Oreochromis niloticus: one gene and its partner. The protein of the gene in region 2 interacts with the protein of the main gene of each other region in a pairwise test. Links are inferred from orthologs where the notes say so. Each region holds a gene or a part of one and is shown on either strand. Other genes may lie near its edges.

What was found. The genes of interacting proteins can lie anywhere in the genome.
Region 1: the proteins of zbtb25 (region 2) and sephs1 interact in binary tests that used the Homo sapiens proteins (3 or more experiments, as listed by UniProt). The two-hybrid records come from large-scale screens. The link is inferred for Oreochromis niloticus from reciprocal best matches to the Homo sapiens genes ZBTB25 and SEPHS1.

The regions. Positions count from the first base shown.
Region 1 is NC_031972.2:55,926,558-55,934,098, forward strand, and holds the start of sephs1 (selenide, water dikinase 1), read right to left. Parts: upstream 3,004-7,541; 5' UTR 2,928-3,003; intron 2,903-2,927; exon of another isoform or gene 2,884-2,902; intron 2,766-2,883; 5' UTR 2,677-2,765; intron 1,280-2,676; 5' UTR 1,253-1,279; coding exon 1,157-1,252; intron 1,054-1,156; coding exon 957-1,053; intron 654-956; coding exon 550-653; intron 441-549; coding exon 333-440; intron 1-332. Other genes in the region: bend7 (BEN domain-containing protein 7), read right to left, coding at 4,043-4,101, 4,587-4,628, 4,781-4,894, 4,971-5,088, 5,206-5,313, 5,727-6,073, 6,151-6,270, 6,467-6,820 and 1 more. UniProt on the Homo sapiens protein: Synthesizes selenophosphate from selenide and ATP.
Region 2 is NC_031980.2:25,892,480-25,900,128, forward strand, and holds the start of zbtb25 (zinc finger and BTB domain-containing protein 25), read left to right. Parts: upstream 1-4,627; 5' UTR 4,628-4,737; coding exon 4,738-4,783; intron 4,784-4,815; exon of another isoform or gene 4,816-4,924; intron 4,925-5,779; coding exon 5,780-5,960; intron 5,961-7,258; coding exon 7,259-7,649. UniProt on the Homo sapiens protein: May be involved in transcriptional regulation.

The DNA of each region.
Region 1 (7,541 bases), on a different chromosome or scaffold from region 2:
AGGAAACTGAGACTACAGTTACACAAATTCACCAAAACAGGGCAACTGAAGACTGGAAAAATGTTGCCTGGTCTGATGAGTCTCAATTTGTGGTGCCACACTTGGATGATAAAAGTCAAAATTTGGATGGATTTTTGGATGTGCATCCAACAAATCTGCAGCAACTGTGTGAAGCCATCATGTCAATATAGACCAAAATCTCCCAAGAAATGTTTTCAGCACTTTGGTGAATCTCGAAGAATTAAAACATTTGCGAAGCCAATAGGATGTCTAACCCGGTACTAGTAAAGTGTCCAGCAAGTGTACCTTCATTTAAGCAAGATGTGTCTTACTTTCTCTGACATTTTGTTGCTGACTCCCAGAAGCATCAACATGTTATCACACTCAGTAACTCCCATGGCGTACAGGTCACTTAGAACATTGGCACAAGCAATTCTTCCCTATAGAAAAGAGATCATGAAAATTAATCACATACAGGTTTGGTATGCAAAGTAATTTAATGAAAGAAAACCAGAAAAACAATGCTAATGAAGAAGGGAAGGTACTTACCATCATGTAAGGGTCATCCACAATGGGATAGATGTAGTCTGTTGTCTGGACAAGAGAAAGGCCACCATGCCGGAGGGGGATCACACATGTGTCCATGCCGATGCCTTCATAAAGAAAATCTCTCTTAATGAAATATTTTAGAGTGTGTGCACTTGTGACCTGTCCATTTTAAAGCCAAGGGTCAAGTTTCACTTCTTGCCTTTAATTTCTGAGCACCAGTGGAGGTGGGACAAGCTTTAAATATACAACACGGTTTCCAGTCCGGCCACAAAACTTGTTTTAACCTCAAACAATGACTTCTGTTTCACTTTGAAAAGAGCCCCAACATGATCTCTCTGCTATGCTTAAAAAAAAAAGGGGGGGGGGCAAGCACTGCTATTCATGTGCTATATGAGTTTAAGAATTACCTAATCGAGGCATAACCGCCCCCAGGAACTGTTCATCCTCTTGATAGTGGTTCTCTTGCAGAGTTTCTAGCAGCTTCTGTAACACATCTTGGGGGACCTGTGATTAGAGAAAATTACCACAATTTCGATGCATTATTTCCTCACTAATCTGTGCAAAGAAAATAACACATTCAAGGCAGATTTTTGTGTGGACAGCTAACCTTGCAGCCTGTGCCTTTGAGCTCAGCAAACCGCGTGAGCCTGAAGTTCTTGTCCAGCTCATAGCTTTCAGGGTTAAAAGACTCCCTCACAGACATATCTGAAGAAGCTCTGGGTCCGCACCACTAGAACCACATCAATGATTATGAAAAATAAATAAAACTGGTGATTACAAACAGTGTCTGGGTGTGTCAAGAAAATACATGCAAATGTTAAGTTGCACAAATGACACAACACAACAGTGCAACATTTCAAGTGAATCGGAGCCAAGTACAACATCTGTAGGAGCAACGCTGGAAAGAATAAATCAACCAAAATAATGCAATGGCATCTCTTTTGCTGCAATGATAGAAATCTTCCGCGGTGAAGTGACATTTAATATTGTCCCGGAGCTCTGTTGACAAAATATTAGGAACACCTAAGTACATTAGAAATTACCACTATAAACATGACTCAAAGATCAGTGTGATATTATTGCAGGCGTGTTGTATTTTGTGATTGAAACAAGTTTGCAAATAAATAATAAAAACTGCATGGTGATTTTAATGCACAGCTGTTATTAAATGTTTTTAATTTGTTAAATACTAGTTTTTATAATTATTTTATTCTCTTTTTTTTGAAGGCAACGGGGTGTCGGATACTTTTAAAATTGAAATGCACAATAATGAATGTGGCATCACCTAAATGGCTTTTCCCCCCATACTCTCCAATCACTGAAAATGTAATAAACTTTTGTGTTCCTAAAAATAAGTTCCATATAGTTGATAAAACTGAAACGCCGTGCAAGTTGGGTGTTACTTATAATCTTGGTTTTTAACATAAACCGGCGTGAGCTGCTGAAGGGGGCCCGTTACTGGTATAGTGGGGTAGTGTTCAAGACAAGCAATGATCCCAAGTTCATTCAACCCTTGGGCACAGGCTAACAATAAAAGTAATGATGTGTGAGTGATTCCGTGTGATGTGAGCGGCATAACACACTGTCGGTAGCTCAGCTTTAAGACACGTGCGTTGATAATGACAGCTACACCCTCTACGTCTGTTTGTTTTGCTGAAAATGCAGTTTTGGCTGCTGCTGCTGCTGCTAGCTCTTGCTAGCAAACGCTGCTACATGCAGGAGCCATTGAACAGCTCTGTGTAACAAAGAGCCGATGAGCAGCCCACTCCAAGACCTGCCGCACATCTAAAAACAGATAAGATGCACACTGCGACCTAAACGTGACGCGTAGCGTTGAGTCGCAGTGTCAGCTCGTAGCACATGTAAGTTAAGAAGTTGCCGTAGACCGCCGAACAAAAATGTCGGCGGCGGAAAAAATTAACCCTTTCCTGTCCCTCGCCATGCGATGTGTGCAACATCAGCGTCAACGCGAATAAAACCGCGCTGCACCTGCTACGTGTGCAAACTTTGTAACGCTGCGGTGCAATAGAAGTGTTTACAACTGCTCTAGATGTGATTTTAGGACCAAAGCGGAGGTATATTCTTGCAACATTTCCCCTTTAATTGCTCTGACCATTTTATCCTTACCAGATTCACGTTAGCGGCGGATCCCGACAGAAGAGCGGGGAAGGCACCAGCATGCACCGGGGCTACAAACGGCTGCCCTGCGAGAAAGCCTGACGAAAAGTGACACATATTTGACTTCTAACATCGGTCCAGGCGAATAAAACTGTCGAAGTATCGCGAGTAATTAAGCATATTGTGTTTAAAAAAATGTATCCAACCTCTGCTCACCTTTATAAAAAATGTGTGACTTAGAATGCAAGAAGGAAACTAACCAGATCTCAAAGGGTCCTCCTTCTGCACACTGGCGGCTTCAACATCCCCTTTAATGAGCTGTGAAGTCTGGCAACAAAATCTCAACAATGGAGTGTACCTTTAATTTACTGTTTCCCTCCAAGTGCAACTACAGCAACACAACATTGCCTGGCTCAAAGTTACCCTAATAAAAGATAAAAGAACTTTTATTTTATTATTTTTAGCTTATGTTTTAATAACAATTAGCCTAAATTTGAAACTTTTCTTTTAACATATTTGAGTGCTTTGTTTTGGTAATTATACTTTCCACAATATATTAAAAAAATAAAACACGAACAGCAACTTTGGATAAAGTAGATTTAATGGTGGGATCAACTTTTTTTTTTAAATATATGTACAGTTAGCAAAAATGAAAGGAAAATACATAATGCCATCACAATATTGACACCAGCTGCAGTGGTATGCATAGCCTAAAAATCTAATAAAGAAAAAAAAAACATTTATAGTGTGTGATATATTTTTATATGTTCACCAAATGTAGACTGCAAACCTATTGTTAATTTGCAGATTTTTTTTAATGAGTTAAAATTTGCCCCAAAAAGAAATACATCGGACCATGTTTACAAGATGTTTGCATTTGGATGTAATGTCAGGATATAAGGTGGATGCTGCACTGCACATTAAACCCACTAAAGTTACTTGAAAGGCACAATTCACAATGAACAGCTTCCCGTGACGTTTAGTTTTTGCTAAATAAATGAACGCAATACTGTTATAGTACTTAGTCTCATTTGAGATGTTTGATCTTTATTTAATTGCATGAAAATAAAACAAGTTAGCTTTTAAGGCTGTTGTCTTTTATGTAAACAGTAAGTGACCGATCTCATTACCTAACCGCTGTATAGTTCAGTGTTTATTTTCACAAAATTCCAAATCTCAGCGTTTTAATGTGGCCCCAATGAAAAGCCTTTTGGATCACAAATACTGCATTGGGATTCTTGTTTGGTCATATTTTATGTCTCTTTACATCCATAGCACATAGCAGTTAACAGCTGCAAATAGTGGCAAAATGCATCAACTCAGAGAAATAATGAAGACAAGACTCTACTGTAAGGTCATCGTGGCAGCCATTGGATTAACCAGTTGTGTTCGCTGCTGTCCTCTCTTCACTTGCAGCCTGTTTATTATCACAGCCTTTAAAAGAAGGAAGAAAATATTGTCAAAATGATATATATTATCACCAAAAAGATGTCTTAATGAATGAGCATGGCAACAAAATGAAATACTATTGTGACAATGAGGGTGAAATATAGAGGTGAAAGAGTGGATATGCGGCATGGTGTGAGGATAATTAGCTGACATTTTGGAAAGCTGCATGAAAATGTCAAAAGTCACTGTGACAGCATGACAAAGACCGATGAGCCAATGAGCGAGCTGGCAACACCAGCTTGAGTGTGTGTGTGTGTGTATGCTGTGACAATGATGTGGGGAGAGGTAAAGCCATTGTGTACTCAGAGGGGGGCTGATGGAAAGATTTTGTAAGATGGAGGGCTGACATGAAGGGAACCAGCTACCAGAAAATGGTCAAAACAGACAACTGAATTAATGTATGTGTCTGTGTGTGTGCCCACGTGTGGCAGACACCTTAAGTGTAAAAATCATAATAATGAGTTTAATACTTGTGGATGGTCCATTTGAGATGTCTTCTGCTTCTACAGCATCTGAAGAGCCAAAGACAACATAGATTGACAGACAGCCTTTTCTTTAGCCTTGAAATGAGCTGGCTTATAAGTACTGTTAAAGGAATGGGCTTCCTCTAGCACATTAATCAAGGGAAAATATTAAAATGATTTAAATGATTTAGCAGCAGAACCTCTTTTCAGCCTCCTCCTTGCAAGTTTGATCTGATCTTGAAGGATCTGAACCCAGTCTCGTGGTCCAGGCAACTTCTCTATTTTGTGTTCAGTGCAGTATTTCTCTGTAAAAACTGGACACACACCATAGTTACATTAATGTTTGCTCAGAAATGTAGTTACACTTTAGTTTGTCTTTCTCTGCCCTACCTTTAATGGCACCCACAATGTTCTGGTCCAAGCCCTTACGGTTATCATTTAGCCCTCTCTTCCTTTTGCCATTTGGCAAGGAGTTAGCCAGCGTGGCGTCATCAAAGAAGGCACACACCTAAACACACAGCACAGCTCTTGACCAAGCAGCATTTTTTGTTCTTTGTTGACATTTCACACGATTATAAAATAATCAGAGCAGGAGAAAATGCTTTTAAAAATCATAGACGTGCACCAGTTTCCGGAACAGCAGGCTGCCTGAGCGTGTATAGTTGACCAGAATGGAGTCTAGCTGGGCCTTAGAGATAAACACGTCATAATCCTCTGCAAGACGCACCTCAGACTGTGAAGGAGTCAAGCAACACAGAGTGTTAATTGTAAAGGATTAAATAAATATCACCAGTTGAAATATAAATGAGTTTTTAGAAAGAAAAAGCAAGAAGACGTTATCTTCATTTCTAGCATTAGCTCGAATCATAGATGTGCTGTAAAATAAACCGCAATGTTTGCACAAAGGTTTATGTCTCATTAGGCAAAAAACAAGGAAAAATCAAGGTACTTAAACTTTTTTTTAGGCATGGAGCTTCACAAAAGAAGCAAAGTTTAGGCTGCAAATTATTTTTACATGCAAATACACATACACGTTCAAATTCATAAGACAGGTGCAGTGTACCTGAATCAAATTAAGCATGCAAATGAGGCTTGGTAAGCACACATGTTGCTGCATATGTACATCCACACTAAGGTACAGATTACCTCTAATGCTTGTGATTCCCTTAGTTGGTTCAGGAGAGGAGGGGTGTTGTTGATCGTCACTGGGTTGGTCTGAGGTGGCGGCACAGGAATGTCAGAGGAGATGGGATGATTGTTGGGTGTAGATGAGTCTTGTTTCTCACATTCTCGCCTCTTTACAGATTCCATAGGTGCAGCTTTTAGCAGTGATGCATCCAGAGGAGCAAGACCAGCTCTTCTGGTGCTAAACACGGATAACGGAGTCATCCTATAGATTGGCCTCCTCTTTCGAGGTCTGTGGCGAGGACTGGGTCCTGCACCTAGGCGAGGTTGAGATGGTGGTGCTGCCCTTTCCTGCCTTTCTAAAGATGCTATTAAAAGGCAGAAAAACATTATATTGTGTTTTATTTCTTTATTTTAGGGTGTGTATTGGTATTCATTTACTAACCTTTTTGAGTCTGCATCAACCTCCTCATGGCACGTAGTTCCTGCAAAATAGCCTGCAAGGTGCCCTTACAGTTACACATACAGCAGGGGGTTTCTGGCACAGTAGGAGGAACTACATCTGCTGGGAAATGAGGGATGCATTTGTTAGCGCTCGTTCACTCTAACATATGCACACAGGTGCAAACATGCTTTAATGTAACAACAAAGGTGTAAGCCACTTCTGGTGTTCAGCACTCAATATTTAATGAAATTCACTATTCTTCAAATAACTTAAGGTTTGTTTAGTAGTTTTCTCCTTTCAAACATGCATATCCTACCATTAGTTTCATTCACTTTGATTAAATCCTTTGTGCTGTTGAGAATCCTGAGGGCTCTGGAGCGTGTGCTGTACTGGCCGCAGCCTGGGCCGTTTGGGACTGGGATGGATATGGATGAAGGTGAAGGCCCTGGGTCCTCTGCAGAGTTCCAGCTGTTGCTCTGGTGGTCCTCTGACACCAGAGATAAAAGTGCAGGCTGATTTACCCAGTTCAGAGGCTTTTCCTGGGGCTCCTTTATTAAGCTATCCTGCTCTGTACCAGCACGCTGGTATACTCTGCTGGTCTTATCGCTCAGAAGCCTCATCATTCCTGTGATTTGTCTTTTGATCTCCATGCCCTCATCCTCCAGCCAAACTACATTAAGAGAGAATGGTGCTCATGTAATTACCGACATCTTGTATGATATATAATCAAAATTCATTCTCTGAATCCCACATACCATCAGACATAACACCATCCTTTGGCTCCCCATTGGCATCTTTGGAGCTGGAGTTAATCACATATGAAGGCTCGAAATCTGCAAAGAAAAAAAAAAAAAGAATGGTTTCGTTATGAAGCACAGCTGTAAAGAAACGCAACAAAACCTTGGTGACAGATGTCATAGAATGATATTGCGGCCTTTTGCCTTCTAAGGTTGAAGCTTGTGCGGGCTAATGAGCTGTGATGCCTGCCAAAGCAGAACCCTCCACCTCACCCCCACCCCATCCCATGCAAAAACCACCACCTGTAGGTGGTATGAAGTAGTGTAGTCAAGAGAGGTGGTGTGTTCCTTACAGCTTAAGCAAAAAGTGCACAGTTGAAGCTCCTTGTTACGAGCTCAGAGTGCGCAATATATTTTCACATTTTATTCAATTTGCTTACTTAATTCAGTCTTAAAAATCTACCCGGAATGAGACGCGTTCAGACTGATGTCCAGGATGTTTCTTTTATTTTCTTTTACATGCAAGATGTGAATCCCTAGAGTTAGCTGCTGGTTAAAACCGAAGCACAGACTGGGCATTGTCGCGGCTATCGCTTTTGTTTACAGAGTCGTCTCTGCTGGCGCACAGCGCCAGACAAACACCCAGACACAGAC
Region 2 (7,649 bases):
TTCTCACAGGAAGTGACACCCCCCCCACACCTTCCCTGTTATGTGACAGATGCGTTTGTGCTGCAGGACAAGTATACCTGTACACACCCCAAGTTACTGCCTAAATAAAGGTCCACCCTGGCCCCAGCAACATCTGGAGAGTTCACAGCAGACGTCCTGTGGACCAGGTTACAGTAAACTGTGAGCCAGATGTGCCTGACACACCCAACAAATCTGGATCTTTAAGGTGGACTCTGCAGGAAACTGCAGATGCAGGGCACGTCTGGGCCAAACCGCTCTCTGAGAGAGTTCTCTGCTTGCTGGTTACCCGAGCCCTCATCGGCGGGTCTGCGCCAATAACATCTGCAGCGATGCCAGATGCGGGCGGAGCTAAAAACAGGTTTCTGTGCTGCAGGAGAAAACTGGTCGCATGCTGTTTTCAGCACCGTGAAGTGAACCCGGTCCTGTTCTTCAGAACTGGAGCTTTTTGTTAGACATGTACCTTCACTGCCCCACCTCCCCCTGCCCCGCTGCTGCTTGGAGACACTGAAACCCATCAGAAGATGTCACTTCCTGTGTCAAAATGGCATGTAATCAGAGCAAGACGTTTCCTCCCGTCACCTGAGCTGAACAGTGATTCACATCTGATTGGATTCACTTAAAATTTTGACATGTTTTTATTTTCAGCGATGTTGTCCCGTCTGCGTGAACTGAGCTGCCATCCCTCCCCGGTTCCACTGATGGTTCGCCTGGCTGTGCTCACAGGTAAAGTTCACACAGAGTACACTTTTGACCAGCTTAAGTTTTCTGTCTTTGTGTCATGTCAGCTGATCCCACAGCGCCTCAGAGCGTCGCGCCTGGTAAGAGATCAGTGGCAAAGTAGCATCACTGCCCGTGTGTGTGTGTGTGTGTGTGTGTGTGTGTGTGTGTGTGTGTGTGTGTGTGTGTGTGAGAAAGAGAGTCCTGAAAGCCATAGCAGCAGAACAACATAAAACCAGCTGTGAGGGAGCTCACCTGCCTCAGGTGCAATCAGAAGACTCGCCTCTTTCAGATTTTTAAACATTTAGTGTCAGCTGACCACCATCAGTCACGTGTTTCTGCGTTAAATCTACGCCATAGCATGACGAATCCTGACAAATGCAACTACACATCGACGCAGCCCATGATGAGTGTGATCGGTGCAGCTGTTTCCAACTTCTTCTGCCTCACACAATTCCTGATTCAAGAAAATCGACTGGCAAAATCTCCTGCGCCAACTAGTGCCCTGCATCTCCGTGCTCTACATCTATTAGGCTGCAGAGCGCCTAATAGATACATGAATCATGCTTCACTGCGACAGCAAGGCAAGAACACTCAGCGGTCCTCTGGATATCGGTGGTGGCCTTGCAAACTGACACATGACTTCAGGAAGTGAGGTCATCATGTGAGATCAACGAGCCAAAATGTTCCAGTAGAATATGAATTGATGAGCGTCTGACTCCATTACAGACGGTCAAGTGACTGATTTCCAAACTGAGTTCTGCCTCTCAGACGAGGCTTGGGATGGCATTGTATTCTGAAATGGATGGGCTCTTTGATCACATGATGTGACGTAAGATCAGTTCAGAGTTCGGGGTGGTCCCGCTGATTTAAAGCCAAAACTGAGCTCCTCCAACAAAACCTACAAGAAACCTAATCCTGCAAACGGATGACACAGACATAGAATGCACCTCCACACGAGTCCCCAGACACCGCTGCCTACACGCCATGTGACAGTAAGAGCCAGCAGTGGAGTGAGCTTGTGATGAGGTTACACAGTGGAAAAGCAGGACTTTGATCAGCTGTTAAAGATGTGACGGCGCCGTGCAGCTGCTGCAGTTACATTAAATTAGGGAATGACCTTTTTATATCCCATCATAAACTTCATCATCATCATCATCACACTTTTCCAGAAATATGCAGATAGGATTTTAAGAATACCTTAAAATGTTCAGGCTGGTTAAATCCTCAGTTTCTAATCACAGCCCAGCTCAGAGTTTACAATTTTAAATGCTGACACATTGTTTTTTCCCCACTTTCAGGTCAATTGTGATATGCAGTTTTTCACGAGTTATTAATAAGAAGAGTATGCCTTAATCATGTTATTACCAGAACAAGTCATTTACACTCTGATCAGCTGGTTGCTGTTCACAGGAAGGTCTCAGGGCTCAATTTATCAGCCGACACGTGACAGTCTAGGTTCATATCTGATGTGTCTGCTGTCAGGTGTGTTTGAGCTTTGTGAGGTTAAAGGTCACAGGTCAGAAACCTACCTACTCTACTGATCAGTAATCAATAAAAATAATAATGTGATCACTGTGAAGGGTGGATAAAATAAATCTGGCCTCTGTCACCAGACTCCACTGTAAAAACCACTCAAATCAGAGCCCCCATCCTGTTTACTCTAAGTCCCCTCCGGGCCCGCAGGCACGCGGTGCGGGCTGTCAGTCACCGGCAGACAGGCCGCGAAGGAGCCACCGAAGTGGGAGCGAGCCCGTGGAAAGACCGGAGGGAGAGGCCGGCCACACCGCCGAGCTAAAATGGAGATTACAGCTCGGCAGAGATTAGCTGCTCCAAGCTAACCCCTGTTAGCGTGGTCCACACCGGAAGTTACGGTGATCGCTCCTCCAAAATGAAAACACAAAGCGTGACGAGGAGTGAGCGAGACCACCGTCAGGGCACCGCGTGCATCACAGCGCGTCTCAGTGACAGTCAGACATTCCCCGAGGGACCGTCAGTGAACCCGGAGCTCCTCCGGATGCTTCAAAGCTCAAAACTATTCGTTACGACTTATATTTTGAAAGTAGCCACCGGATGTGATGCGAATAAAACCGGGCGTTTACTGAGCGCTCTCTCTCCCGCAAACAGCCCCGCCGCCCCCGCACTGCCACCCGCATTCAGCACCGAGAGCAGGCCGCGAGCATTTCCTTCACCGCCTGCCGCCCAGGCGGCCACGAAGCCCGGGCACGGGCCCGTCCACTCACCGTGGGTCCCGGAGGCCGGCGGAGGGGCTGCTGCTGTGGGGTTCCCGGGCTCCGAAGGGTCCTCCGCGGACGGTTTGCTGTGGAGACGAAGGAGCAGCCTCTTCTTCTTCTTCTCCTCCCGCAGGATGAAAGCACTTCCGCAAAGCCCGCCGCGCCGTCAAGCCGCACATAGCGAGGAAGTCCAAATAAGGAACTTCCGGTCAGAGTGGGGCCCTTCAAAATAAAGTTAAATAAAGTTTTAACGTTTCAAAAATAAGTTTCTGCCTTGATGGTTCGTTTAAACTCCGTGCAACTAAGCTGACACCATGGGAACGTGTGGGAATGTGTCGCACAGTGAAAATAAAAAAAAAAGTAAAATGAAAAACTGTATCTGCTCAACCCACCAGCCACACACAGAAAACCTGCGTCACAGATACTGAAGTTGTAATAAAAAATTTAAGAACTTTAACCCAGCGGGACATGTTTAACTGCAACAAGCAGCAGTTCACAGGTGGGCATTAAATCATAATAAATATACGTTTCTGGCTTGGACGGGGCCTTTCACAGTTAAATAAATAGTGTCAGAATTTTGTCTTCATTGAAAACGACCACAGGAAACAAAGTCTGCTTTTATTTTGAAAATAATAACCGGAAGAACTTATTTGTTTTCTCTCTCGCTTGTAGGCTTGCGTGAGGCCTCCCGCCACCCACATTCAGTCAGAGAGCAGCAAGGAGGTCTCACTCTGAGCTGAGCAGGAGACTCCGCCTGAAGAAGCAGCAACGTCTCACTCTGTTTCGTCCACCCATCAATCATATACGAGGTGGCCCATACCTGAACGATCTCATCACTGCAGCTGCAGCACCAGTCCGTCTGTTTCAAAGTAGCCTGCGATTTGGAGGCAGCACCTGATGAAGCCAACAGTACCACATCATCTGCAAAATTCAGAGACAAGATGCTGGCAACGCCCAGATAATCTGCCCATCATCGGTGACAAAGGGCGTCCTAGGCGGAGCCCAGCACCCACCGTGTCCCACTCACTGCCAGGAATGTGGACCACACCTCACAGCATACCCGCTGTGGTCAGTAATAATCAGTACTGCTGATCATCTCAGTGAACACCAGCCTAAGAAAACATATTTACACAGGTTATGAGTCACTTCAGTCACCAATCGAGGTACAGTGGCCCAGCTGTGAAACAACCAGGTGTACACATATGTGCCTTAAACTCAGATTACTCTGAGAATACTCTGAGTTTCAGATTAGACGGAATATGATGGGGTTTAGTCCCTGAGCTGCAGAGCTGAGGCGTGTTTGTGAGTCTGTCTGCTGCACGGTGTCGGTGTGTGTTGTGTCACGTGATCGTGCCCCCTGCACGGTGTCGGGGTCTTATGCTGCTGGCTGACAGCCTCTGATCGGTTTCACTTTTTTTTCAGAAAATTATTGATGGCACGATGACGTCATCTTTCCTGCTCCGCGTTTATTAAATTACTGATCAGCCTTCGAACGTTTCTGACGGCTCACGTGACCGCCCCATTTGACCCATGTTCTCGCGAGAGGTGACGCGGCTCGTCGCGAGATCCTCTGCAGCAACAAATCGGCTCCGATTCTGAAGACGATCTGCTCGTTTCTGCGGTAAGGCGCTCATTAACGGCGCGCGTGCAGGACCCGCGCGAACACGGGATTGCCGGGCGGTGGGAGCGTGAACACGCGCCCGTGTGCGCGTGTGTGCGGAGGTGATGAGGACGTGCGTGTGGTGAATGAGATGAAGGATGGAGGATGCTGCGCGGCGGCGGGCGCGACGGCACGTGCACGCGCAGAGCTGGTGTGTGACTGGGTCGCGCGGGTGTCCGGTTTCCGGTGTGGTCGGGTCAGTTCGATGTGAACACCCCGCCCCTCCCCGTGCATGCGTACGTGTGTGTCAGGTGCAGGTGACCTTCACTGAGGTCAGAGGTGGCGTCTCCAAGTAAGCCTGACAGACTTAATGTGACGTCACAGGGTTAAACGACACCTTAAGAGTTTTTCAGGTCTGAATGTGAAACCCTGCTCTGTGTTTGTGTGTCTGTGTGCCTGTGTGTGTGAAAGTGTGCATGTGTGTGTGATTTGTGTTTCTGAGTGTGTGTGCGTGTGTGTGTGAGAGAGTTGCTGAAGATAAGATAACTCTTTATTGTCATTGCACACTCATACCTTGTACAATAGTACAATGAAATTGGAAACTCCCACGTCAGCACAACTAAAGACAACACAGTTACTTAAAGTGGATTTTTTTTCAAAGTGCAAGGAACCCAGACAGTGGCATGCGTGCGCCCCTGTAGGAGCTGCAGTTCCTCTGATGTCCCCCAGACGCTCCAGCAGTGAGCGGTAGAAGAGGCTCCTCCTCAAACAGAGGAGCTTCATCAGCTCTTTTAGTGAATGAACCTGCACCCACGCTCTGTTCTACAACATCGACCAACCACAGTGCACGAGAATCAGGAGGGCTCTACCTTGTGGCGTTATTCAGCACTTACACGTTAAGTACTTACTGAGCTAAAGCAACAGGATTATCGGTAACACAGCAGCAGCAATGGACTTGACCGACTAGAGATATATATATCATCTTCTATCACCACAGCTGCTCCTCTGCTTCGGTGTCACAGTGAAGTTCCTCCAACCTTCTCTGAATTTCTTCAAGACATCCTCCATCCTGTCGCACATTAATAAGTGTGTATGTTAAATGTATGCGTGTGTGCAGTGATGATGGAGGTCAGAGTGTGTGAGGAACCACAAACCGCCCAGACTGAAGTCCGAGTGTGAACTTGTTGGGCTCGGGTTTGTGTTTCAGACGGGGTCATGGAGGTGTCGTCGCACAGCCTCTTCCTGCTGCAGCAGCTCAACGTGCAGAGGGAATTCGGTTTCCTGTGTGACTGCACCGTTGCCATTGGAAACGTCTACTTCAAAGCTCACCGCGCTGTGCTAGCCGCCTTCTCCAACTACTTCAAGATGATCTTCATCCACCAGTCCAGGTGAGGGGTGGAACAGCGGCATTTGAACTCTGTACCTGAGTAGAAGTTAGTTATACACCTGTGCTTTGGGTCATCACACAAGTACAGACAGTATAAAAATGGGCATGTTTTCTGAGAACCTGAATTCTTTTAAATCCCCATCAGGTGGTGACTCCTCTGATGCTCGAATCCTTTGTCCTGATAAATTTGTTGGCTTCCTCAACCAGCTTGGGTTCCAGGTCAGAGAGGAGGATTATCTAGGGCAGGGGTCCCTAATCCCACTCCACAAGGGCCGGTGTCCCTGCGAGTTTTAGATGTGTCCTTGATCCATCACAGCTGATTTACATGGATACATTACCTTGACATGTCTTGAAGTTCTCCAGAGGCCTGGTAATGGACTAATCCTGTGATTCAGGTGTGTTGACCCAGGGTGAGATTTAAAACCTGCAGGGACACCGGCTCTCGTGGACTGGGATTGGGGACCCCTGATCTAGGGCGTGCTAAACGTACGTTCTTCAGTCAGATCTGCCGCTTGCTGTCATTGTGACGGGAGTGATGAAAAGGACTTCACTAACCAGCCGGTGACAGTCTCTGCGTCGATCCTGTCATGAAAACGTTACCAGACGACCTGCTGTTAGCCAGCTAGCTGTGAGTTAGCAGTGCAGCATGAATCCAAAGAGGGTTCGCTTGTCTGAAACCATGCAGCTGCAAATAGTTCAGCCTAGGGAGTTTGGATGAACTGGCCAACCTTATCCATTAAAGACAGGATTCTACTGCTTGTTGGCAGGCGCGTTAGTGTTAGCTAAGATTAGCCATGAGAAAGACAGCTCAGGATTGGATTTGCTCTCCACAACCAAACCGAATGTTAGCGTTAACTACAAACTTGGAGCTTGACTGGTCAACCAGTGGCTAGCTGTCAGCTACAAACAGATGCACTGTGAGGACATGTGAGGACAGTTTATTTGGCCTTAGCTTTTAGATGAACAGCGGTGTGTTTGATTTATAACACAACAAAAAAATAATGAATGAAATTTAATGTTTTATCCCAATTATTTTGTTTTCATAATTTTTAAGAAACAATCAAAAGGTAATTAAAATCCAAATATGATTGATCAGCCCTAAAATGTGTTTAAGGCTAGAATAATGCTGAAGGCTTGTACCGGTGTTTGTTCCTTTATTCCAGGATCTGGATCCTGTGATCCAGAATAGAGGGACAAAACTTTGGTCCAAACCTTCAGGAGAATATCGGTCCAAAACATCAGGATGCACATGCTGTTTTTTTTCCGAGGTGCTGACCTCATGTCTCTCTGTGTCCCCAGCGAGTGTATAAAGATCCAGCCCACGGACATCCAGCCGGACGTCTTCAGCTATCTTCTGCACATCATGTACACCGGTATGTGTCCCAAACAGCCGGTGGACCACAGCCGGCTGCAGGAGGGCATTAAGTTCCTTCACGCCTACCAGCTGTGCCGCAAAACTGGAGAGGGTGCTGCTGAGACTGCCAACAACGTGGTCCGCATGTCCAACCTCTATGGCATTCAGATCTCTTCCCAGCTGGCCAGCAAGGAGGGACCCGGAGTCCCCAAGACCACCACGGTGTCCCGCGGGGCCGAGGATGGGCGATCCTCTGACCGAGGGGCCCGGTCTCACTCCCAGCTGTCCCTTGCTGTCGGACTCGAGGGGGTATCGTCGGACCATCAGGCCTCAGCG